Sus scrofa: one gene and its partners. The protein of the gene in region 2 interacts with the protein of the main gene of each other region in a pairwise test. Links are inferred from orthologs where the notes say so. Each region holds a gene or a part of one and is shown on either strand. Other genes may lie near its edges.

Evidence for each region. The genes of interacting proteins can lie anywhere in the genome.
Region 1: the proteins of TFIP11 (region 2) and CCDC42 interact in binary tests that used the Homo sapiens proteins (3 or more experiments, as listed by UniProt). The two-hybrid records come from large-scale screens. The link is inferred for Sus scrofa from reciprocal best matches to the Homo sapiens genes TFIP11 and CCDC42.
Region 3: the proteins of TFIP11 (region 2) and CCND3 interact in binary tests that used the Homo sapiens proteins (3 or more experiments, as listed by UniProt). The two-hybrid records come from large-scale screens. The link is inferred for Sus scrofa from reciprocal best matches to the Homo sapiens genes TFIP11 and CCND3.

What each region holds. Positions count from the first base shown.
Region 1 is NC_010454.4:53,872,017-53,879,609, reverse strand, and holds part of CCDC42 (coiled-coil domain-containing protein 42A), read left to right. Parts: intron 1-4,657; coding exon 4,658-4,879; intron 4,880-5,006; coding exon 5,007-5,165; intron 5,166-7,593. UniProt on the Homo sapiens protein: Essential for male fertility. Required for sperm development.
Region 2 is NC_010456.5:44,103,607-44,111,199, forward strand, and holds part of TFIP11 (tuftelin-interacting protein 11), read right to left. Parts: intron 2,944-7,593; coding exon 2,790-2,943; intron 2,472-2,789; coding exon 2,315-2,471; intron 989-2,314; coding exon 861-988; intron 433-860; coding exon 280-432; intron 1-279. UniProt on the Homo sapiens protein: Involved in pre-mRNA splicing, specifically in spliceosome disassembly during late-stage splicing events. Intron turnover seems to proceed through reactions in two lariat-intron associated complexes termed Intron Large (IL) and Intron Small (IS).
Region 3 is NC_010449.5:37,086,550-37,094,142, reverse strand, and holds the end of CCND3 (G1/S-specific cyclin-D3), read left to right. Parts: intron 1-408; coding exon of another isoform or gene 409-453; coding exon 454-624; intron 625-3,589; coding exon 3,590-3,749; exon of another isoform or gene 3,750-4,177; coding exon of another isoform or gene 4,178-4,253; coding exon 4,254-4,390; intron 4,391-4,816; coding exon 4,817-4,984; 3' UTR 4,985-6,807; downstream 6,808-7,593. UniProt on the Homo sapiens protein: Regulatory component of the cyclin D3-CDK4 (DC) complex that phosphorylates and inhibits members of the retinoblastoma (RB) protein family including RB1 and regulates the cell-cycle during G(1)/S transition.

The DNA.
Region 1 (7,593 bases), on a different chromosome or scaffold from region 2:
ATTGAAATGCTCCTGTCCCCTCTCCTCTGGGACGCCTCCCCCCTCTCTGCCTTTCTGGTTTCCTCTGGCCCTTCCTTCTCAGGCTCCCCTGGGTGCTCCCCTTTATATTCCTCGGGTCTTTGTCTCGGACCCCCCCTCCTTTCTCCCTCAGCAATTCCCCGGGCCTCCCGTGGTGCCACCCTGTCAGAGGCCATCCACCCTGTGTCCCCCATGCCCCACGTGACAGTAGGCACCGGGGTGAGCGAGGCAGGAGGTGTGTCCCCTGGGGCATGAATCCACTTCCTGTGGGGGCACCAGGCAACAAAGGACACGGGGCTTTTTAAAGAGTCCTGGCAATTCCCACATACAACAACCCGATTGATTTATGCATGAGTCCCAAATCTGGGTTATTTCCTCCATTCTACCTACTACCTATGGTAGGATAAACTGTTCATTTAATGATTGGGGTTTGGGGGTTGGGAGGAGCGGGGGCGGGGGAGAGACAACTATACTAAAGCAGCAGATAGAGTATAAGGGACGGCTCAGGTTTAGAGCTGGTAAGATATGTGTCTTAGAACCCAGGAGACGGGCCTCTCGCGGGCCCTCATCTCCCTCCTAAGTTCAGGCCCCTACATCTAATTTATCGTGTCTGCAACTGCTTCCTGCCAGCCCCAGGCCAGCCCTGCCCCTGGTGGGTCCGGCCACCCACCCACAGCCTCGCCAGAACTCAGGGCCTCCTCCTCCCGCAGCCATCCATCAGCAGATCTGGTCTCTTCTGCCTCCTGCGTATTTCTGGAATCCAGCCCCTGCCCCTTCTTCATCCAGACCACCAGGGCACCTCCTCGGGAGCTCAGCTCTGATCATTCCCGGCCACCAGCCTGTCTGGCGTTCTCCAGCCAGTGTAGTTCCAGTCTTTCTCCCTCTCTTCCTTCCTTCTTGTATTTCTTGCAGAATGTTTCAAACATACTGAAAAGCACACAGAAGTATATAACGGCACCCGAGTTCTCACCGCAGCTTTATCAAATCAATACTTCCCCCTATTTGCCACTGACTCTTTTTTTCTTCAATGAAACACTGCTAGGAGGTCCTGTTGTGGCTCAGCAGAAACAAATCTGACTAGTTTCCATGAGGACACAGGTTCGATCCCTGGCCTCGCTCAGTGGGTTAAGGATCCGGCGTTTGCCGTGAGCTGTGGTGTAGGTCGAAGATGGGGCTTGGATCCGCATTGCTGTGGCTGTGGTGTAGGCCAGCGGCTTCATCTCCAATTTGGCCCCTAAACTGGGAACCCCCATATGCCACAGGCATGGCCCTTAAAAGCAAAAGAATAAAACACTACTATTAATGGAAACCCCCCGGGGGCCCCCTTCCAAATCCCATCAGAAACACCTTTCCTTAGTGGTAAGGAGTATCCAGATTTTTTTCTTAATCTCATGCTTGTTTTTATTACTTTTGGCAACATGTTACATTATCCATAAACTATGAATAGTGTGTATATATCCTTTTACAGCCTGTTTCCAAACGATGATTTTTAAAAAAACCAATTTGTATTATGGAAAATGTCAAACATACACAAAAGTAGAGAGAAGAGTCTATTGAATGCCCATGGCTCATCACCTAATTCCAACATCGTCTCTGCCATGTTGAAGCAAATATTTTTTTCATCCATAAACATTTCAGCATAGAACCCAAAAGAACTTTTTTTTTTAACATGGTCACAGTACCATTGTCACAGCTACCTCTGGTCAGTGTTAAAATTTCCCCAGTTATTGTACAAATGCTTTCTGCTCGTTTGGTTGGTTGGGCTGTGCCCGCGGCATGCGGACCTTCTGCGGCCAAGGATTGAAGGCTCCCCACAGCCGTGACAATGCCAGATCCTTAACTACTAGGCCGCCAAGGAACGCCTGCAAATGCTTTTTGCACAGCTGGTTGGTTCCAGTCGGGGTCCAGACAAGGTACCCACACTGCATCTGGCTGATGTGTTTGTCAGGTGCCACAGATGTTATTATCATGCTGAGCAAAAGAAGCCACACATAAAAGGGACATACTGAACGAGCCCACTGATGTGTTTCAAAGCAGGTAAAATGAATCTTTGAATCTTTGATAACAGAGGTCACAATTCTGGTTTTCTCAGTAGTGGGGGCAGGGGCAGATACCGACTGAAAGGCGGCCAAAGATCCTTCTAGGCTGCTGGAAACGTCCTAAGACCTCTCCTTCATGTATGAGCTAGAAAACTACCATCAAGAAAAGGACTTCATTGGAGTTCCCATCATGGCTCAGTGGTTAACGAGGCTGACTAGGAACCATGAGGTTCCGGGTTCGATCCCTGGCCTCGCTCAGTGGGTTAAGGATCTGGCGTTGCCGGGCGCTGTGGTGTAGGTTGCAGATGAGGTTTGGATCTGGTGTGGCTGTGACTGTGGTGTAGGCTGGCAGCTGTAGCTCCAATTCAACCCCTAGCCTGGGAACCTCCATATGCCGTGGGTGTGGACCTCAAGAGACAAAAAAAAAAAAAAAAAAAAAGAAAGAAAGAAAAAGAAGGACTTCATTAAGAGAGCCTCCCTTCAACTATTCAAAAACTCTGCGGGTCTTAAAGAAAAAGCTGTTAAATGCTTGATTCTTTAATTTCTATTTTATTTTATTTTATTTTATTGCCCACGCCTGTGGCATGCCAAAGTTCCCGGGCCAGGACTCCAACCCTCACCACAGCAGTGACCCACGCTACAGCAGTGACAGCACTGGATCCTCAAATGCTAGGCCACCAGGGAACTCCAATTCTTAATTAGACTTTTCAGAATACCAAGTTGGCTCTCCAGCACCCTCCAAAAGTGCCCTGTAATGCTGCTAGTATCATTGTGAGCTCATGGTTTGTTTTTTTGTTTTGTGTTTTGTTTTTGGTTTTTTTTTTGCTTTTTAGGGCTGCACCACGTAGCATATGGAAATTCCCAGGCTAGGGGTCCAATCAGCAGCTACAGCTGCCGGCCTGCACCACAGCCACAGCCACGTGGGATCGGAGCTGCGTCTGCGACCTACACCACAGCTCACGGCAACGCCGGATCCTTAACCCATTGAGCGAGGCCGGGGATCGAACCTGCAACCTCATGGTTCCTAGTGGGATTCGTTTCTGCTGCGCCACGACAGGAACTCCCATGGGGTTTTAATATGCTTCCATCCTTTGCACTTATTCTTACTGGCGTTCAAAGTGTCCCATCTTTGGACAGTGGGAGCCTCTTCAAGTTGGCACCTGAGTCCTTTTGACCTCAGTGCTAAGTTTTGGGGAGGTGCTCCCGCGGCTCTGATGCAACCCATCTCTTTGAACTGTTGTGTATCATTGCATCTCTCAGAAACGCAGACAGGAAGTTCTCTCTCTGCCCTGTCCGCCAGTGGATGAAGTCCACAGTCCTCGGGAGGCGCTTCCGTCTCTCCCTCCCCGTCTTGCACTCAGGCCGCTCCCACTAAACTCTCTTGCTTACTGTGGCCATGAACGGGCCACCTGCGCTCATCCTGACCCAGGCTGATCCCTCTACCTGTATTACTCTCTCACCTTCCCCCACCTGTCTTTGGCCAGCTTCTCTTCAAACCTCTGGTCTCACTCTGGCCATCCTTCTCCCCAGGGAGCCTCTTCTGGCTGTCCCCACCTCCCCGCATGCTGGGGGTTCCGTGGCCCTTCCCCACAGAGGATACGTTTGGAGAAAGGCCAGCAGGGCAATTCCCAGAACACCAGTCTATCGCTGGAAATGTTGTGAGATGGAGAAACCACTCAGGGAGTGTCCCCTGGGTGGCCGGGAGGCACACGTTGATAACCCCCCTGGGACATGAGTTGGCATCCTGGAGCTGGTGCTCACACTGCCTGCTGGAGAGGGAGGGTGGCAGGGCTCTTGGTCTATGGATGGGGCCTGTGAGTTCTGGGTGGGGCCAGAGTGGTGGGCTCTGCCACAGGACTGGAGGGGGCCCCTAAGCCTGGCCTGCCATGGGCCCCAGTGGCACCATCTTCAGCCTCCGCTCCAGGGAGGCCCCAGCAACTGCTGAACAAATGCCAGAAATCACCAGGCGGAAGATATTACCCGACAGTCTGCCTCTGCTGCAGCCCCATCCCCCAGCCACTGATAGGGCTTATCGCTGTGTAACTGCCTACTTACCGGCCATCTGGCCTCCCACACCACCCCACATTGGAGGCTTCATAAAAGCGGGGTCTGGCTTTCTTATCTCCTGCTCTAGCCCTAGCATTTAGCACAGTTCCGGGCTTCTAAGTGGTCTTGGTACATTCTTGCCACATACGATCACGATTGAGATTGGAGACAGCGCAAAATCGACCCATGCCCCCACCCCAGGTGGCAATTCTCAACCCCAGAATTAGCAGGGGGAACTTCAGAGCGGTGTATTAGTCCAGATCGCTGAGGCTGGAGCCTGACAGGTGTCCTTTTTGAAGTTCCCCGGTTTTTCTAACACGCACTCAGCACCTGGAGCCCCAGGTCTGGATGCACATGCGCCCAACACGCGCCAAACCAACCCAGGAGGCGCGCAGCGCGGCTCCAAGGGCCTCACAGCCTCTGCCCCTCGACCTCGACCTCGGCCCAGGGCCTCCCTGCCAGGCCAGGAGTTGGGGGCGCAGAGTGCGGGTGGGGTGGGAGCCCAGGGCGGGGGCGCATTGACCGGAGGCTCCCCTCCGCTCCCCCTGCGGCAGTTCGAGGAGATCCACGAGGTGATCGCGCGCTACAAGACGCTGGTGAGCATGCACCACGACCTCATGCAGGCGGCGCAGGAGGGCCAGGAGAAGATCGAGCGCGCCAAGGCGAGGCTGGCGCGCTACAAGGAGGAGAAGGATGACGAGATCCTGCAGCACAACAACGAGCTGGCGCGCCTGCAGATGCGCTTCGACCGCGCACGCAGCGACGTCATCATCTGGGTGAGCCCACGGGCGGGGCGCGTCTGGGTGCCGGGCGAGTATGGGCCACACACGCACGCGTGCACGCACACACGCACACGCACGTACCCATGCTCACAGCGCTCACGCCTCCCCCTGCCCTCGCCAGGAATCCCGCTGGGCACACATCCAGAACACCGCCGCCAAGAAAACCCTCTTGCTCGGCACCATTAAGATGGCCACGCTGAACCTCTTCCAGATCGTGAGCAAGCAGCTGAAGGAGGCGACCTTCGTGTCCCTGGAGGACACCCACAAACAGCTGGACATGGTAAGAGGAGGCCCGAGTGCCCGGCCAGCTGGCTCTACTGAGCCAAGATGGTTCTCCATTGGTCGAGTGGAGGAACGACCCGGGCAGGGTAGTGGTCCTCAGATTTTAACAGGATCGGAACCCCCGGGGGGGGCTGGGAGGATGGCTGGAGCCCACCCGCAGCCTCCGACTCAGTAGTAGGTCAGAGATGAGAACCCATGAATGTCCATTTTCACCAAGTTCCCAGAGAATGGTGTTCACCCGAGTTCCACACTCCAAGAACTGCTTGACTGCGGTAAGACTCGCTTGGCCCCGTCAACATGGGCAGAAGCAAGGACACATGACCGAATTCACTGGCTGTGCAAAACAGCCTTACTCATTTCTGGTGAGATGCTGAAGGCTTGTGAGGGAGGCCTGCCCGTGGGGAAAAGAGAAAATTTGTGGGGAAAAAGGAAATGAGCCAGTGCAGAAAAGTGGAGTCATTCTAGTACCGAGCTGAGATTTTTCTCTTTGAAGTAATTGGGAGGAAATTGAAAAGGAAATAGACTTTTCGCTGTACAGTTCAAAGCTACTTGATGCCTTGTCCACGTACCACCTAAAATCAGCTCCTTCTGACCAAAGGTACACGCATCCCGCAGTTTGGGAACCTCCCTGCTAGCAGGTGCATTCCCCGTGCGTCTTGTGACGTGCAGAGAACTTTGACTTGTTATTTATTCGTTTGGCAAAAGGCTTTAGCTCTGCCATGAAATAGCAGAAAGTAGGCTCCCGAAGGCTGGGATTTCTGTTTGCTTGATTCCCTGCCATCTCTGGTGTTTAGAACCATGCCAGGCACGTAGTAGGCACTCAATAAATATTTGGTGAGTGAATATGAAATACGAGCCAATAAAAGCAATTGACTAAGAGGTACTTCCTCTGTTTAAAAAAAAAAAAAAAAAAGCAAACGATGAAATTCATGAAATGTAAAGAATTTCACCCACTGACCAGCCAGGAAGAAGGATTTCCGTAAAGCAAAGAATCAGCCTGCAATGTAAGGCATGTGAGAACAGAATTATCATCAGCCCTAAGACTGTAAAGAGAATTTGTAGGAAAGATTGTTTTTGAAATAGCGATCCTCATGCTTTTTCGGTATCAGGATAGCTCTGCCCTTATAAAACTCAGCGAAGACCCTCGAAGAGCTGTAGTTTCTATGTATTACAGCTACTGCTGTTTCCCATATTAGAAACTCAAGCCGAAAAATTAAAAATCATTCATTCATTTTAAAATGACAATACGAAGTGTGTTACACAAATAGCATTTTTATGAGAAATACGTTCTCAAAAATTATTTTGGGAATTCCTGCCATGGTGCGGTGGGTTAAGGATCCAATTGCAGCAGCCTGGGTCACTGCGGAGGTGCGGGTTTGATCCTCTGCCCTCTGCAGTGGGTTAAGGATCTGGCATGACCGCAGCTGTGGCATAAGTCAGGATTTGATCCCTGGCCTGGGAACGATGCCACAGATGCAGCCCCCAAAAAAAGGATTTTGTGTGACAAGGGGCATTATGCAACACTTGCAGATCCCTTTAATGTCTGGCTTCTTAGTGGGCAAGTGAGTTCTGACACTTGCTTCTGCATTCAGCCTCTTGTGATGACCTATGTCATGGGAACATCCCACTCTTGTAAAAGCCACTGTCGTCTCACAAGAGGAGGAGGAGGGGAAACCAGCATTATAGTAGCAAGGGTTTTGGTGTCCAGCGGTAGAGTCTCAGGGACTCCCAGGCATCCTTGCGCACCTTTCTTTGGCCGTTGTAAAGAACAACGGGCAGGAGGCGGTGACTCCAGCTGGCCACCCCTTCCCGAGCATCCCCGGCTCAGACCACAGCTTCCACCCCAACATCCTCACTCCTCTCAAGCTTGATTTGCCTGCATCGGAATCCGTCATATTGCCCCAATGTTGTTTCTAAATATCCCACTTCGTTCCCGTAGCATATGAGCCTACGGCACACACATATGACTAAGTAGCCTGAAAAATGAAAAATAAAGACCTGGGACAATGTGAGTTAAAATCTGAGGTCAAGGCCAGAGAGAGACTACATGTACTGTGGAGCCTTAGATTATAGTGACAGTAGTGCATCAGGGACAGTGGTTGGCTCTGAGCTTCCGGGTAGCCAGAAGGAAAAGCAACACGTCGTTCTTAAACCACGTTAAGAAAACAAGGTTTTGGAAGTTCCCGTCGTGGCGCAGTGGTTAACGAATCCGACTAGGAACCATGAGGTTGTGGGTTCGGTCCCTGCCTTGCTCCATGGATTAACGATCCGGTGTTGCCGAGAGCTGTGGTGTAGGTCACAGACGCGGCTCGGATCCCGCGTTGCTGTGGCTCTGGCGGAGGCTGGCAGCTACAGTTCCGATTCGACCCCTAGCCTGGGAACCTCCATATGCCACAGGAGCGGCCCAAGAAAAGGCAAAAAGACAA
Region 2 (7,593 bases):
CACGGACAGCAAGCTGCAGAGCTGGAGTGCTGGATTTAGCACTGTAGTGTAGTGAAGAGCACCTGGCACAGGGTAGGAACAACAATGAGCCTAAATGGGAGTGCAGGAAATGGGCAGAGGCTACTGCCACGCAAGAAAGCAGGACACACAAGAAAGCCTGCCCAGAAGACCCACAGGAACCTTATGAGCAAGTGTTGGGTGACTGATGCTGCTGTGGTTAACTGTGTGTGTGTCTTGCAAGCCTCCATCCTGGACCAGGTGTCCATGGGCCCCCCATACCTTGACCTGAGAAATCTCTTTCTGGGGAGCAGAGAGCTTCTTGCTAATTCTGCCCTTGGCTTTTAACTCTTCCACTGTCTTGTAAGAGTATTTGGGCTTCTTCTTGCTTCCGCTGGGGTCTTTCCTCCACTGGCTCAGCTCCTTCTGAAATTCCTGAATCAAGAATATAACATAGTCCATCACAACAAGAAAGGGCCACTTTTTCCCGCAAGTGGGGACACTGAGGCTTTCAGAACACCATGCTAAGCACCGTCCCTCCATAACACTAAGACCATCCAAAGACACTGCTTGATGCCCACTCCCTGCCTTACAAATACTGAGGCTCAGACCCCTTCCCCACATAGCCAACCTACTTTCTTCTGAGTACTTCCTGGCACAACTGCTCTTTCTAACCACACCGTGGTTACTTTTTTACTGCTCCCTGTCCACCAGGCTCCACGCCTGGTCACGGCAGGACACCAGCCTTCAGCAGTGTCTGGCACCTGCTGTGCAAGCGACCTCTAAACACTGGCCGAGTGAACAAATGAGCAAACAACAGTCCCAAGAGGCAGAGACAGAATCCAGCCCATCTCCTGACTCACCTCCTCAGCTTCTTCCTCAGAGTCAACCACGGGGAAGTCCTGCAGGGACTGGGTGGTGCGCTCTGAGCCATACGCCCCCACCGCGCCTTTCCCCTTTCTCTGCTTGGCTTCAATTGGGTTAATGATACCTGGCAAGTTGCAGCAAAAGACAGACTTCAGATCACAGCAGTTCTTGTGAGTGAGCCACTCAGGGAGACCACACTCCTGGTCCTCACACACAGTAACATGCTACCCAGGAAGGAAACATGCTTCTGCCCTCACGACACCGTTTGGCTCCTGTGTGGCCAGAAGCTTCTGAGCGTGTGTGCTGCCACAAAACAGTGTGCTGATATTGTTTGTATCCTAAATACAGACTTCCATTTCTACTTGGACTTGTTGGTTTTTTTTTAGTGGACAGGAATATTTTATAACTGGGATCTCAGGCAAATTAGATTCTATACTCTGCTCATTTGGAAGCCCATTAATTCAGATATTATATTGATTCTGACTGAAGTAAGGTGAAGCTGCCATTTAATATGAAACTCCACCTATTTTACTTAGGAGTTCATATCTCCTATGAGCTATAACAAGTTTAAGCCTGGAAAATAAGTATTTTTCTTGTAAAAGTTTACAAACAGGACTGCATTTCAGTGAAGAACTGCCACACCCCAGACTTCCTACCAGGCCCCTTCCAGCTAGTACTGTTGAAATCCCAATTAGCACACTTCCCTCACTCCCATGCCATTGCCACTCAAGTCCATGGATTCTTCATACGGCTGATGTTTTCAACCCACAATCCATATCTAACTTTATAATACCTAGGGGCTGAATCTGAATTACAGAGAATACTACTGATGACATCCCACTGGTGAGTGTTGTAAAACAAAAGGCAACACCTGATGTTTTACTGATATTCCTGAAGGACAGGTAACTGGCTTTTTGCAAAACTAAAAAATAGTTACCTGTCCTGCCCCCGCATGAGCAAGAGTCCAAACTCATATGCCTTTAGGGTCCAGGAACATTAATATGAACAGGGAAAGTGGGCTGGAGTAAAAGGGGAGTGTGGAGGCAGCTTCCAGGAGAAGGCCTTGGGTGCTGACTGGGACAGCAAGGACTCAGCTAAACCAGTCACTGCCAGGCAACTCTAGAATGGAAGTGAAACTGTCTGCTTTTTAAATATTGGCAACCAGTTTGATTTTTTAGAAACACCGGGCAGGCTAGAAAGAAGCCTGTTCTCAGCCTGTCAGCCTGATTTAAACCCTAACCTCTCCCTCCTGCCGAAACAAGTATTTTATGTAACTTGAGTTCTGATAAAGCATGAAGCATAGAGCACAGCATCTGTGCTGGCAGAACAGGCTGCAGGGTCCCAGCCCTCCGAACAGTGAAAAAGCAGAAAAGAGGAGGCCACTGCCCTCCCTGCTCTTCCCACCTCTGCCTGACAGCAAGTGCAAGACTGTGGGGTGGGACTGCCACACCTTGTGCATTCTTCCCAAGGCCCCTTCCAGGGACATAGCCCATCTTCTGAAGCAGCTTCTGTCCAATTCCTTTTGTGTGTCTTTCCCAGCTGCCAAAATCCATGAACGACTTGGTTCCTCCTGCAAAACCTTTCTGACTGGGTTTAAAGTTACCACCCTGAAAAGGAGAAAAATCAAAGTTTAGTTAATAGAAAAAGAAGGAAAACGTAATAAAGCAAGCTTAGCTGATGGGAGCATGACCTGGCAGTCACAGAGCATTATGAAAAATATCTCACCAATCAAACCTACCTCTGATGCATCTTAGGGAATAGAAGAGACTGCACTGCACACATCACCCCTCAGGGAGATGCACTACCACAGGGAGACCCACACAATGCCGCCGCCCCCCGCCCCCGCCAATTGTGAGCAGATGCTTGCACCACAAAGATGCTCCAGGGATATTACTAAAGTCACAACACGTCAATAAGGAGGCTACCGTTTTTAACTTCTTTGGTCCAAAATCCTTAGGAAATTCATCCTGCTTAACAGGTTTCTCTTCATCATCAGAATCTTCCAGCTCCGCCTCCTCTGCTGCCCCTTTCTTGAGCCCAGCACTGATGAAGTTGACTGGTGCCGAGTAGTCACGAGCCCTGCAGGTAAAAACACAAGGCCCCACAGCCCATAGGGTCATTAAGAACTCTCCTGAAACCATCCCATGTAGAAACCTTGCTGGCCAGAGAGTTCCTTAGAGTTGACCTTGTGGGATCCATTTTATTTTTTATTTTTTGTTTTTGAGGGCTGTACCTGTGGGATATGGAAGTTCCCAGGCGAGAGGGTTCAACTGGAGCTGTATCTGTAGGCCTACTCAACAACCACAGCAACGCCGGATCTGAGCCACATCTTCGACCTACACCACAGCTCATGGCAGTGCCAGATCCTTAACCCACTAAGTGGGCCAGGGATCGAACCCTCGTCCTTATGGATACTAGTCATGTTCACTACCAGTGAATCACAACAGGAGCTCTTCCTTTTACGTTTTTAAAATTAACTTACTTTAAAAAGCATTTACACCAAAACCAGAAAAAAGAGAAAATTACAGGTCAATATCTTTCATGAATATAGATACGGAAATTCTCAAGAAAATATCAGCAAGCCAAATCCAACAAGACATCAAAAAAAAAATCACACATTATAACCAAATGGGATTCACCCCAAGTTTACAAGGATGGTTCGCCGTGCACAAATCAATGTGATACACCACATCGACAACAAAAAAGACAATAACCACATGATCATCTCAATAGGTGCAGAAAAAGCATTTGACAAAATTCAACATCCATTCAAGTTGGATCATCCATTCAACTCTTACCAAATCAAGTATAGAGGGAACACATCTCAACACAGTAAAAGCCATCCATGACAAACCCACAGCCAGAATGATACTCAATGGCGAAAAGCTGAAAGCCTTTCCACTAAAATCTGGAACAAGACAAGGATGTCCACGCTCACCAATTTTATTTAACATAGTATTGGAAGGCCTAGCCACAGCAATCAGACAGACAAAAGAAATAAAAAGTATCCAAAAAAAAAAGAGGTAAAATTGTCACTCTATGCAGATGACATGATAGTATATATAGAAAACCTTAAGGATGCCACACAAAAATTACTCAAACTGATCAACAAATTCAGCAAAAATTCAAGGATACAAGATTAACGTTCAAAAATCAGTTGCACTTCTGTATACTAAGGATTAAGTATTAGAAAAGGAATATAAAAATACAACATTTTTAAATGGCACTCAAAAAAAATTAAATACCTAGGAATAAACCTGACTAAGGAGGTGGAAGACTTATATGCTAAGAACTATAAAACATTAATCATGGAGGAGTTTCCATTTTGGCACAGGGGAAACAAATCCAACTAGGAACAATGAGGTTGCAGGTTTGATCCCTGGCCTCACTAAGTGGGTTAAGGATCTGGTCTTGCCATGAGCTGTGGTGTGGGTCAACAGATGCGGATCTGATGTTGCTGTGATTTGACCCCTAGCCTGGAAACTTCCATAGGCCACAAGTGTGGCCCTAAAAAGCATAAAAAAAAAAAAAAGAAATTAACTACAGAAATTCAAAGAAATGGAAAGATATTTCATGCTCCTGGATTGGAAGAATTAATATCATTAAAATGGCCACATTACCCAAAGCAATCTACAGGTTCAATGCAATCCCTATCAAATTATCCATGACATTTTTCACAGAACTAGAACAAACAATCCAAAAATGTATATGGAACCATAAAAGACCCAGAATTGCCAAAGAAATCCTGAAGAACAAAAACCAAGCAGGAGGCATAACTTTCCCAGACTTCAGACAATACTACAAAGCTACAGTAATCAACACAGTATGGTACTGGTACAAAAACAGACATACAGATCAATGGAACAGAATACAGAACCCAGAAATAAACCTGGACATGTGGTCAATTAACCTTTGACAAAGGAGGCAAGACTATAAAATGGGAAAAAGACAGTCTCTTCAGGAAGTGGTGCTGGGAAAAATGGACAGTAAATCAATGAAACTAGAACACATCCTCATACCATACACAAAAATAAACTCAAAATAGCTTAAAGACTTAAACATAAGACACCATCAAACTCCTAGAAGAGAACATGGCAAAACATTCTCTGACATCAATGGTACAAATGTTTTCCTAAGTCAGTCTCCAAAGATAACAGAAATAAAAACAAAAATAAACCAATGGGACCTAATCAAGCTGACAAGCTTTTGCACACCAAAGGAAACCATAAAAAAAGCAAAAAGACAAACTACAGAATGGTAGGAAATGGTTTCAAATGATGCAACGCTTAATTTCCAAAATACACACAACTCATACAACTCAACAGCAAAAAAAAAAAAAAAAAAAAAAAAGCTCATCAATAATTATTCAATAAATGCAAATCAAAACTACAATGTGGTACAACTGCACACTTGTCAGAATGGCATCACAAATGCTGGAGAGGGTGTGGAGAAAAGGGAACCCTCCTACACTGTTGGTGGGAATGTAAACTGGTCCCACCACAATGGAAAACAGTATGGAGGTACAGCAGAAAACTAAATATAGAACTACCAGATGATCTAGCAATCCCACTCCTGGGCATATATCCAGACAAAGATTTCAAGGAAAATTATACACGCACTCCTATGTTCATTGCAGTACTAGTCACAATAGTCAAGACATAGAAACAACCTAAATGTCCTGCAACAGGGGAATGGATTAAGAAGATGTGGTACATATGCACAATGGAATACCACTCAGTGATAAAAAAGAACAAAATAACGCCATTTGCAGCAACGTGGATAGAACTAGAGACTCTCATACTAATTGTATCAAATGAAGCAGGTCAGAAAGAGACAAATACCATATGATTTCACTTATATCTGGAATCTAACATGTGGCACAAATGAACCTATCTACAGAAAAGAAACAAATTCATGGAAAAGACTTGTGGTTGCCAAGGGGGTGGAGTGAGAGGCTGGGGTTAGCAAATGCAGCTATTATACGTGGAGAGGATAAACAAGGTCCTGTACAGCACAGAGAACCATATTCAGTGTCCTATGATAAACCAATTAACACAACACTGTAAATCAAATATACTTCAATTAAAAAAACAAAATTTTCTTCTGGCCATGCCTGTAGCATGTGAATGTTCCCAGGCCTGTGATCAAACCCATGCCAGAGCAGCAACCCAAGGCACTACAGTGACAATGCCAGATCCTCAGCCTGCTGTGCCTCAAGGGAACTCAAAATTTTTTTTTTCTTTTAAAAATAAACACAAGGAGTTCCCACTGTAAGCACAATGGGATCACTGTTGTCTCTGGAGCACTGCAATGCAGGTTTGATCCCTAGCCCAGCATAGGGGGTTAAGGGCCCAGCATGGCTGCAGCAACAACATAGGTTACAAGTGTAGCTCCAATCTGATCCCTGGCCTGGTAACTCCTTCTGACGTGAGGTGGCCAAAAAAGGAAAAAGAAAAACAAAGCATTTGTTTCAGACACTATTTCAAGCACAAAAATCAAACAAGGAAAGTCCCCAAGAGTATTGCAAAATAAGGTGATGCTTTATAAAATGACTAACCTCGTAAAGAAACCTCTCCATGGCAGCAATAAAACTAAGAGAATATTCTCCTAGAGGTGCAATATAAGAGCCCAAATGTAGAGTAAGGTCCAGATTCTAACAGTTTAGCTGTACGACTTTTGGCTGGAGTTTTTTTCTTTCCTTTTTTTGGCCATGGCAGAAACATATAGACGTTCCCAGGCCAGAGATTGAAACCATGCCACAGCAGTGACAATGCCATATAATTAACTGTTAGGCCACCAGGCAACTCCTGGCCACAGTTTCTTAATCTGTAAAATGGGATGATAATAATGGCACCTTTCTCTTGTAAGCAGGGTAATAGAGACCACGCCTGAACAAGGAAGCAGTGAAGGCCATTACTATCTTATAGACATAAAATTCTTGATCCCTGATCTAGTCATCATTCACTTTAGATTTCTTACAGATGAGAAGAGGTCGCACTGATTTCTGCTCTTTCTCCCAACCTCCTTTTTTCTGTTGGTTTGTTTTTTTCTTTCTATAGCCACACCTGTGGCATATGGAAGTTCCCAGGCTAGGTCAGATTGGAGTTGAGCTGCCAGCCTACACCACAGCCACTGCCACACTGGATCCCTAACCCCATGAGCAAGGACAGGGATCAAACCCACATCCTCAGGGACACTAGGTTGTGTTCTTAACCCGCTGAACCACAGTGGGAACTCCCAGCCTCCTTTGTCAAAAATGTACAATTGCAATGGGTTGGAGCCTCCAGGCCTCAGGTGGGGACAGAAAGACAAAGCCAAACCTGCTACACACTCTGGTCAGGCAAGCTGCAGCCAACACAGGCAACTCCACGCTGAGGAGGGGGCTTTCAGTCCCAGTCCTCATCCCCTGCCACCAGCCCAGCCCTGGTCTCTACTACTGCCTGGCCCGGGCCTCCTCACAGAGGCCCCTCTTCCACTGTGGCTCAACCCCGAGCCTGCACCTGAGCAAAAGGATCTTCAAACACGCCCCCTCCCCGCATGTCACACCCTCTCCACACAGACCCAAGGCCTCTTTCTCAGATGACACCCCTTCCCTCTCCAGCTCACAACGTCTCATGTCCTCTTGGATTCCCTGCTGCCTCCCAGCAAAGGCCTTTGTTTACCGGTGCTGCCCTGATTCTCCATCTTCCCTAACCTCCCGAATAGGTCAAACACCCTAAAATAGGTCCC
Region 3 (7,593 bases), on a different chromosome or scaffold from region 2:
GGAGGCCGCGGCTGGAGTCTCCTCCCTTCCCTTTGGGTGTGTGCAGTGGGTGGCGGTAATGGGGGTAAGGTCCCAGTTCTCTGGCTACAGTGGGTGACTCGTCCGTCCCCCATCGCCCTCGGTATGGGGGAGGGCAGACTCAGTTTGGAATCCTTAAGGGAGCCTCTGGCTTACAGCCCCCCTCTCCCCAGCCCCGGGTGTGGGGGTGGAGGCAACGTCGAGGAAGTGGGGGGGGCGTCACCTTGGGGAAGGCGCATCCTGCGTTTTAGTCCCTGTCACTGTAAGGACACCTACCCCCTGCCATTTCTTGCTCCCCGTCCCAATCCCTTTCAGCCCCCCCCCCCAACCTTTAGTGCTGCTGCGTCTCCTCTGCCTCTGTCCCAGAAATGACCGTGCGCCCTCCCCCAGGTGTGTGAGGAGCAGCGCTGTGAGGAGGAAGTCTTCCCCCTGGCCATGAACTACCTGGATCGCTACCTGTCCTGCGTCCCCACCCGCAAGGCGCAGTTGCAGCTCCTGGGTGCGGTCTGCATGCTGCTGGCCTCCAAGCTGCGCGAGACTACGCCCCTGACCATCGAAAAACTGTGCATCTACACGGACCACTCTGTCTCTCCCCGCCAGCTGCGGGTGCGTGCACAACTCCCCCCGCCCCCCAACATCTCCTGCCTCCTCACTCACCAGAAAAAGGAAAGCTAAGACCTCGGGCGGCTTTCTGCCCTTGCACAGGGTAGCAGAGGCTTTTTAAATTTTTTTTGGACAAAGGATGGGGCCGTGTGGTGTGATGGTCAGCGTAGCCCCCGCCCAGGTCGTAGCCGCCCCCCCCCGTTCCCCCCCCCCACGCGCTCCCAGGCCTGCGCTGCCGGCAGGAACTAAATCCCCTTCTCCTGGCCTCCAGGGGGTGCCACTCCTTCCTGGTCTTTCCTCCAGATAGCAACAAGTCAAACTGCATGTCTACACTCACTAGTACTTTGCCTCTGGGTTTACACAGCCACCGTGAGTTATTTATTGGCAGCAGCAGGACGTGCCTGCGCACCCCCACTGGAGTCGGGGAGTGGAATGTGCTTCGTGTGGGGGAGGGGGGCTCGGTTGAGTCTTTATCCCAGTGTGTGGACTTTGTGATGGAAAAGCCTCCCAGAGCAGATTAAAGCCAGGCGTTGGTGGCTCTGAGGCAGGGCCGTGGCGTTTGGTCCCACCTTCTTCTCTCCTTCCTCTTCTCTCCCCAGGGAGACCGCTCCTTCCGAATCCTCCCTTCCTAGCCTCTCTCTGAAAAACCTGAGCAGCTGCTCCTGGCCTGGTGGAATCATCTCTCCCTTTCCCCCTTAGCCAAAGGCCAGAGCTGAGGGACAGACAGGGGGGCTGAGCTGCAGCTGCTTCCGATGTGATAATGATGGCCTCTCCCCAGGCCCACCCACTCTGCCCAAGGTCTTTCATAACCCTGTGGGGAGCTGCTGTCACTCCTGTGGTTTGGGAAGTGGCTCCCTGGGCCTCTTGCTGGGAACTCAGGCTGGGTGCTTCCGAGACAGAGGAGTGATGGGCTCTCCTTCCCCACTGAGCTGGGAGAGGAGGTTGCTGAGGGCCTGCAGATCATGCTTGGGGGTCTGGGGGAGAGGGCTGAGCCGGCACCTTCCTCCACCTTGCTCTGCAGCCGCCTGGTCAGAGCAGGAGTCCTGGGGCCCCATCTCCCGGGGAGGAGGGCAGCGTGCCGGCTGCTGTGATTGGCTGGCTGGGAAGCCAGGGTACTGGGGCCCCCGAGTGCTGCTTGTCGAGGAGCAGGATTCCTCTTCCTGCCAAATAGCTCTCAGAGATGGGAGTAGGAGGCCGGAGTTGGGAATCTGGGAGGCCCCACAGCTCTTGGTGATGAATCTGGTAGTTGTCGGCAAGTCTGAAGGTGGAGCTGGTTTCCAGGACTAGTAAGCAGACTGTTTTTGGAGGGGTTGGGGCTAAGAAGGTAGAAGGGGACTTCCTTTTTGTGGAAAGATTGGGGTGATGTGGGTGCCTTAGGTGAGGGAAGTTTTTCAGAATAGACAGAAAGTCCTCGACCCCCACTCCCGTGCCTGGGCTGGGGGTGGAGTGAGCCGGTGACTCCCTAGAAGGTTAGAGTTGGAAGCCCCCCCCCCACCCGGGGGGCCCTGAGAGCTCCAGTCAGTCCAAATCCTTGTGCCACAGAGGCTGGGACCCAGAGGAGAGAAGGGTCCTACCTCAGCATTGCCCTGGGGCAGAGGAGCAGGCTTTGGGGGTGCTAGCTAGCTCAGGTGGCCTCCGGTAGCCTAAGAGGTCATGGAAGCTGCCAGGCATGTGTTCTCTTCTGAGCTTGGGCTGAGATTCAGGGGTTGCCTGGATACAGGCTTAGGTGGCCACCCTCCCTCATGCAGGGCCCTAGGCCTCTCCACAGGGAAAGCCCCTCTCCTAGTTGCCTTCCAGATGTTTCCTTGTTTGCTTCGAGTTAGGAGCTTGAGTTTGACCGCTGGGACAAGGACCAGGAGTGGGACGCTAGCTTCTCTGCCCTGCTTCTCCTGGCCCCAGGCCAGGCTGTTTTCTGTGGGGCACTGTGAGACATTTAAGAGGATGACACCTAGGCGGGGCCCGGAGACGGAGAGCTGTGTGTGACTGGGGGCCTCGAAGAGGTTGGGTGGGGTCACCCTTTCTACCTTAGTGAGGGGTCAAACCCATGAGTTCCTTCCTGAGACGGAGCAGTGAAGAAATCCTCATGTGTGCAACTCAGAAATGGGGCCAGGGCTGGGGACCCCAGACAAGTGGATTGGGGTGGGGCCCCCAGCCTCCTTCCAGGACCTAGCAGTGGTGCAGCAGCCAGGGCAGATGGAGAGGAGGTTTGCCTCCTCAGGGATCATCTGGATCCATCCTGTCTGGCTTGGCCTCCACTTCTCTTCCTGAGACTCCAGTGCTTCTAGCGGCCATGGGTTCCAGCCAAAGGGGTGGAGTGGGGTGCTCTACCTCAATCCCCCCTGCCCCCCCCACCCCATGTCCCACCAAGGGGATGTGGGTTGGGTTGGGCAACCTCCACTTTGAGGAACCTCAGGGTTGGCTCACGGGCTGTGTCACAGGAGGTGTGGCCTCATGCTCACCCCAGTTTCTTCAAGAGGTGTGGACTTGATTGGGAGGCTCTGTGGTGGGAGAGGCTAGTGGTGAGCTCCCCTTTCACAAGTCCTTGGGATCACGGAGTCTTTCTGCTTCACACCAGAGGAGCCTCAAGTTCATGGTGATGCTGGTGGTGTCTGCTGCAGTCTTGTCTTTCAACCCTGGCTTAGAGAAGTACTCAGAGCTCTGCAGGAAGTCAGGAGAAGGCCTGGATTATTGGCCCCCAAAGATTAACCTAGCAGGATTAAAAGAGACGATTCACGTACAGCACGTCATTTTGGCACCTAGAAAGTGATCAATACGTGCTCAAAGCAAGTGTCCCCAGCTCTGTCCTGCCCTGGGCGCCCCACTCCCCTCCAGTGCCAGTCCCTAAACTCAGAAGCAGAACTGGGGTCCTGACCTTCAAGTGTGATGGGCTTCCTTCCCCAGGAGACTTCCTCTTTACTCCCGCCCCTTCCCTTTAGCCACTAACTCCACCCTCTTCCTCAACCTCCAGGATTGGGAGGTGCTGGTCCTGGGGAAGCTCAAGTGGGACCTGGCCGCTGTGATTGCCCATGATTTCCTGGCTCTGATTCTCCACCGGCTCGCTCTGCCCCGTGACCGACAGGCCTTGGTCAAAAAGCACGCCCAGACCTTTTTGGCCCTCTGTGCTACAGGTAGGAGTCCGACACACATTTTTGCCAAACCAGAAAAATTGTAAGACTTAAACGCGTGAGAGGAGACTAGGAGATTCTGATTTATACTCTCTCAAGATTTGTGAAGGTTCTATCCCCTGAGTCCCCAGCTCAGAAGAGCAGCAGAACATGGAGCTGTATGGGATTTCAGAGACAGCCCCCCGCCTTAGGTGGGTGGGGACATTGAGGGCCTAGGGTCTCACAGTGATGAAGTTGGTAGCAGAACCTGGGTCTCTTAACCCTAATTTTGTGTCCACACCTGGAAGAGACTCATTTACTCCCTGGTCCCTGGCTAGGATCACTACAGACCACCCTGGACCAGACCCTTGCCTGCCTCTCTCTCCCCACTCACTGCTGGGGTTTTCCTGTACACCCCTGCCCGATTCATACAGCCTGGCACTTTCTGAGGAATGGAAGGGCCATACTGTTTGTTATCCTTGAAATCTTCCTGCTTCAGTCCTTTCTTCCCCCCCACCCCCCCCCAAGATTACACCTTTGCCATGTACCCGCCATCCATGATCGCCACGGGCAGCATTGGGGCTGCAGTGCAAGGCCTGGGTGCCTGCTCCACATCTGGAGATGAGCTCACGGAGCTGCTGGCTGGGATCACAGGCACTGAAGTGGTGAGTGTTGGGCAGTGAATGGTGCAGCAGTTCCTGAGGCTATGCTATTCCTTGAGCCTCCAGCAGAGGGAGCTGTCCCCCCTCCTTGGTCCCCACCTTCTGTGGCCTTTACTCTCCTGCCTTGGTCTGGAGAAGAGCAAGTGTCTTGGGTGGGCTGAAGGGCATTGTCCCTGGGTACCCTTTTCTTGCCAAATCGTGTACAGGAGTGGGGTTGGGGGTTTGGTGTCAGATGCTGGGCTGCTCTCACACCCTCTTGCCACATCCTCTTGCCAGTTTCTGAGAATCGAAGGCTGATTCCTGGGGTTGGGCTGTGGCCTCACCTCCCCAGACTTCCCTGTGTGCTGGGAGGCGTCCTCCAGCACCTGCTCCTAGACGCTCTGGCAGGAAGGAAGTGGGCCCTCTTCACTGTTCCCCCTGTGTTCCCAGGACTGCCTGCGGGCCTGTCAGGAGCAGATCGAAGCTGCCCTCAGGGAGAGCCTCAGGGAAGCCGCCCAGACCTCCCCCAGCCCAGCGCCCAAAGCCCCCAGGGGCTCCAGCAGCCAGGGGCCCAGCCAGACCAGCACTCCCACAGATGTCACAGCCATCCACCTGTAGCCCTGGAGAGGCCCCCTCGAGTGGCCACCAACAGCAGAGGAGGGGACACTGCCACCCCCTCTCCTCCCTGCCTGCAGGAACGAACCATGCCACAGCCGAAGCCCGAGGGGGCTCCTTCTTACTCGCCCCTCGCAAGCCGAAGGGCCAGGTCCTACCTATCCTTGCAGCGTGCACTAAGGGCCCAGCCGGCTGTGCTGGTGGCCAGTCAGGCTCCTCCTTCTCCCCGCATCTGACTCTGCTCCTTCCCATTCCACTAGGGGTGGGCCAGACTGGCCAGAGATGAAATTGCAGTAGGTAAAATACATGCACCAGCATTCCTTCTGGGGGACCCCATATCCTGGGGCTCTCGTGTTCTCGACTGCCAAAACCCTCTGATGCCTTGTAAAGGTGCTGCACCCTCTAGTTACTGCATTTGGATTGGAGTCTTTCTGCAGAACCTTCAGATGGTGCGAGGGGAGTCTGGAGAAGTCCTCGCAAGGCACTTGGAGGCCCCTGCGTAATCCATGTCCCCAGCTGCTCCTGGGGGAGGGGCCCCAGCTTCTGTCCGACTCCCTTGCTTGGCTTTTTGCTCAGCTTCTCCTGTGTGATTTGGGGGCCGGGGGGAGAAGGTCAGTGCTAAAGGAAGAGGTTTTAATTTATTAATTGCTTTAAGTACAACTATAAGAAGGTGTGGTGGGCCCCTCTACCCCGAGCGGTGGTAACCCTGGTGGTTGCTGCATCCCTCCCCTCTGCTGCTGCTGGCTCGAGGATCTTTGTGGCCAAGGAGCTGCTACAGCCTGGGAAGGGCCGTGCCCTCCTCTCCCTCTGGCCCATCCTCGGGGTGGGGGGGGAGGTGAAGCAGGGATGACCTGGAGGTGACGGCCCCCGACTGGAGAGGGAGGCAAGCCCTGTTGACACAGGTCTTTCCTAAGGCCACAAGGTCCAGGCTGGTGGCCCAGGACCATCATGCTATGTTAATAAAAATTCTGGAATAAAACTGGCTTTGGCTTCTTGGGATGGATGGTGGGCTGGGCAAAAGCTGATTTCCAGATTGCGTGGGATAAAGAGGGTCCTGAGCAGGAGCTTCCAAGCCTCTTCCATGAAGGGCCAGAGGACCTTAGGCTTTGTGGGCTCCGTGGTCTCTGCCCGAGTCAGTGCTGCTTTATAGTGCAGTGTCCGTGTTCCTAAAAATCACCGCACCATACAAAACTGCACGGCAAAAACCAGAGCTTATGGGAAAAATGGGCCTTGAAGCACCATCCTCAACAACTTATTGAGTGACACTGTCTTGCAAAAAGGAAAGAGGAGGAGTTCCCTTATGGTGCAGTGGGTGAAGGATCCAGGGCTTGGGTCGCTGTTGTGGCACAGGTTTTGACCCCTGGCCCAGGAACCTCTGTGCCAAAAAAATAAAGAGAAAGGAAAGAGGAGAGCATTTTTACACATTAAATGGTTAAGAAGCAAACGCCTCAAGTCTGCTGCTGAGCGTGGAGGTGGGAAGGATGGAGGATGTGGAAGGCAGGTGCCACCAGGCATGGGCGTAGCTAACAGCCACAAGGTGAACTGGGGGCGCTAGCACATGTCTCAGGTGTGTGTGTTTTGTGGACTATCTGGTTTGGCTCAGTTGGGTAGTTTTTTTGCTTTCACCTGGTGTTTCTCAGAGACAAAGCTGCGTATCAACATGAAACTTGCTTTATGATCAGATTCCGCCCAAATACATTCATCACGTGAAAAACTCACGTTTTTCAAAAGCAAATAGTGTTAGCCAGATTCAACTCCCTGCTGTAGCAGGAAAGCAGCCAGAGAAACATGGGCATGACTGTGTCCTAATTAAACTTTATTTATGGACATTGAAATCTGAGTTTCATATAGTTTTCACCTATTACAAAATAGTGTTCTTTTTTTCCCAAACATTAAAAAATATGTAAAACTCATTCTTAGCTCACGGGCTGTGAGAAAATGGGCACGTGACTTTGGCTTGCCAACCCCTGGTCAAAAGTGCTCATTAACTAAGAAGGTAGAAGGGAGCTGGTCTGGTGGTGACCCTGGATCTAGTCATTCCTGGCCCAACCTTCCTTGCCCTGTACCTCCACCCTCCTCTAGGTGCCTCCTCCCAGCTCTTCCTTCCACAGCTGAGACCATCTTCTGAACAATTTCCTGGCTGCTGGCCTTCTCCCCGAGTGGCCTGTGTCGGGGGAAGCAGAGGACATGCCCTCTAGGGGCCGGCAGTGTGGGTATAGCCTAGAGAAACAGACTCCTAGCGTGAAGAGGCAGAGGGTCCCGTGAAGACTGGGTAAGAATCCACTCCTACGCAGGAATGGGGAAGCGGTGCCCACCTCCAGCTGAAGAGTAAAAGCAGACAGATCTCTAGCCATCACATCCAAACACTGGAGCTCAATAAATACCTGCCTTTTGCTTTTATTCACAGTCCAGTGACCTAACGCAACAGCGCAAGATAAGGCACCGACTCCAAGCCTCGGCTGGGAGGCGGGAGCACTGGGCTGTGGCATCTGGGTCAGGCGGCAGAACTGGGCAGGGATGCAGGCCTAGAATGGAAGCGGGAGCCAGCCAGGCCCCATCCTCCCTGTCAGAACCGAGGCACCAGAGGCCTATGACCTGGGTCTTCAGCTGTA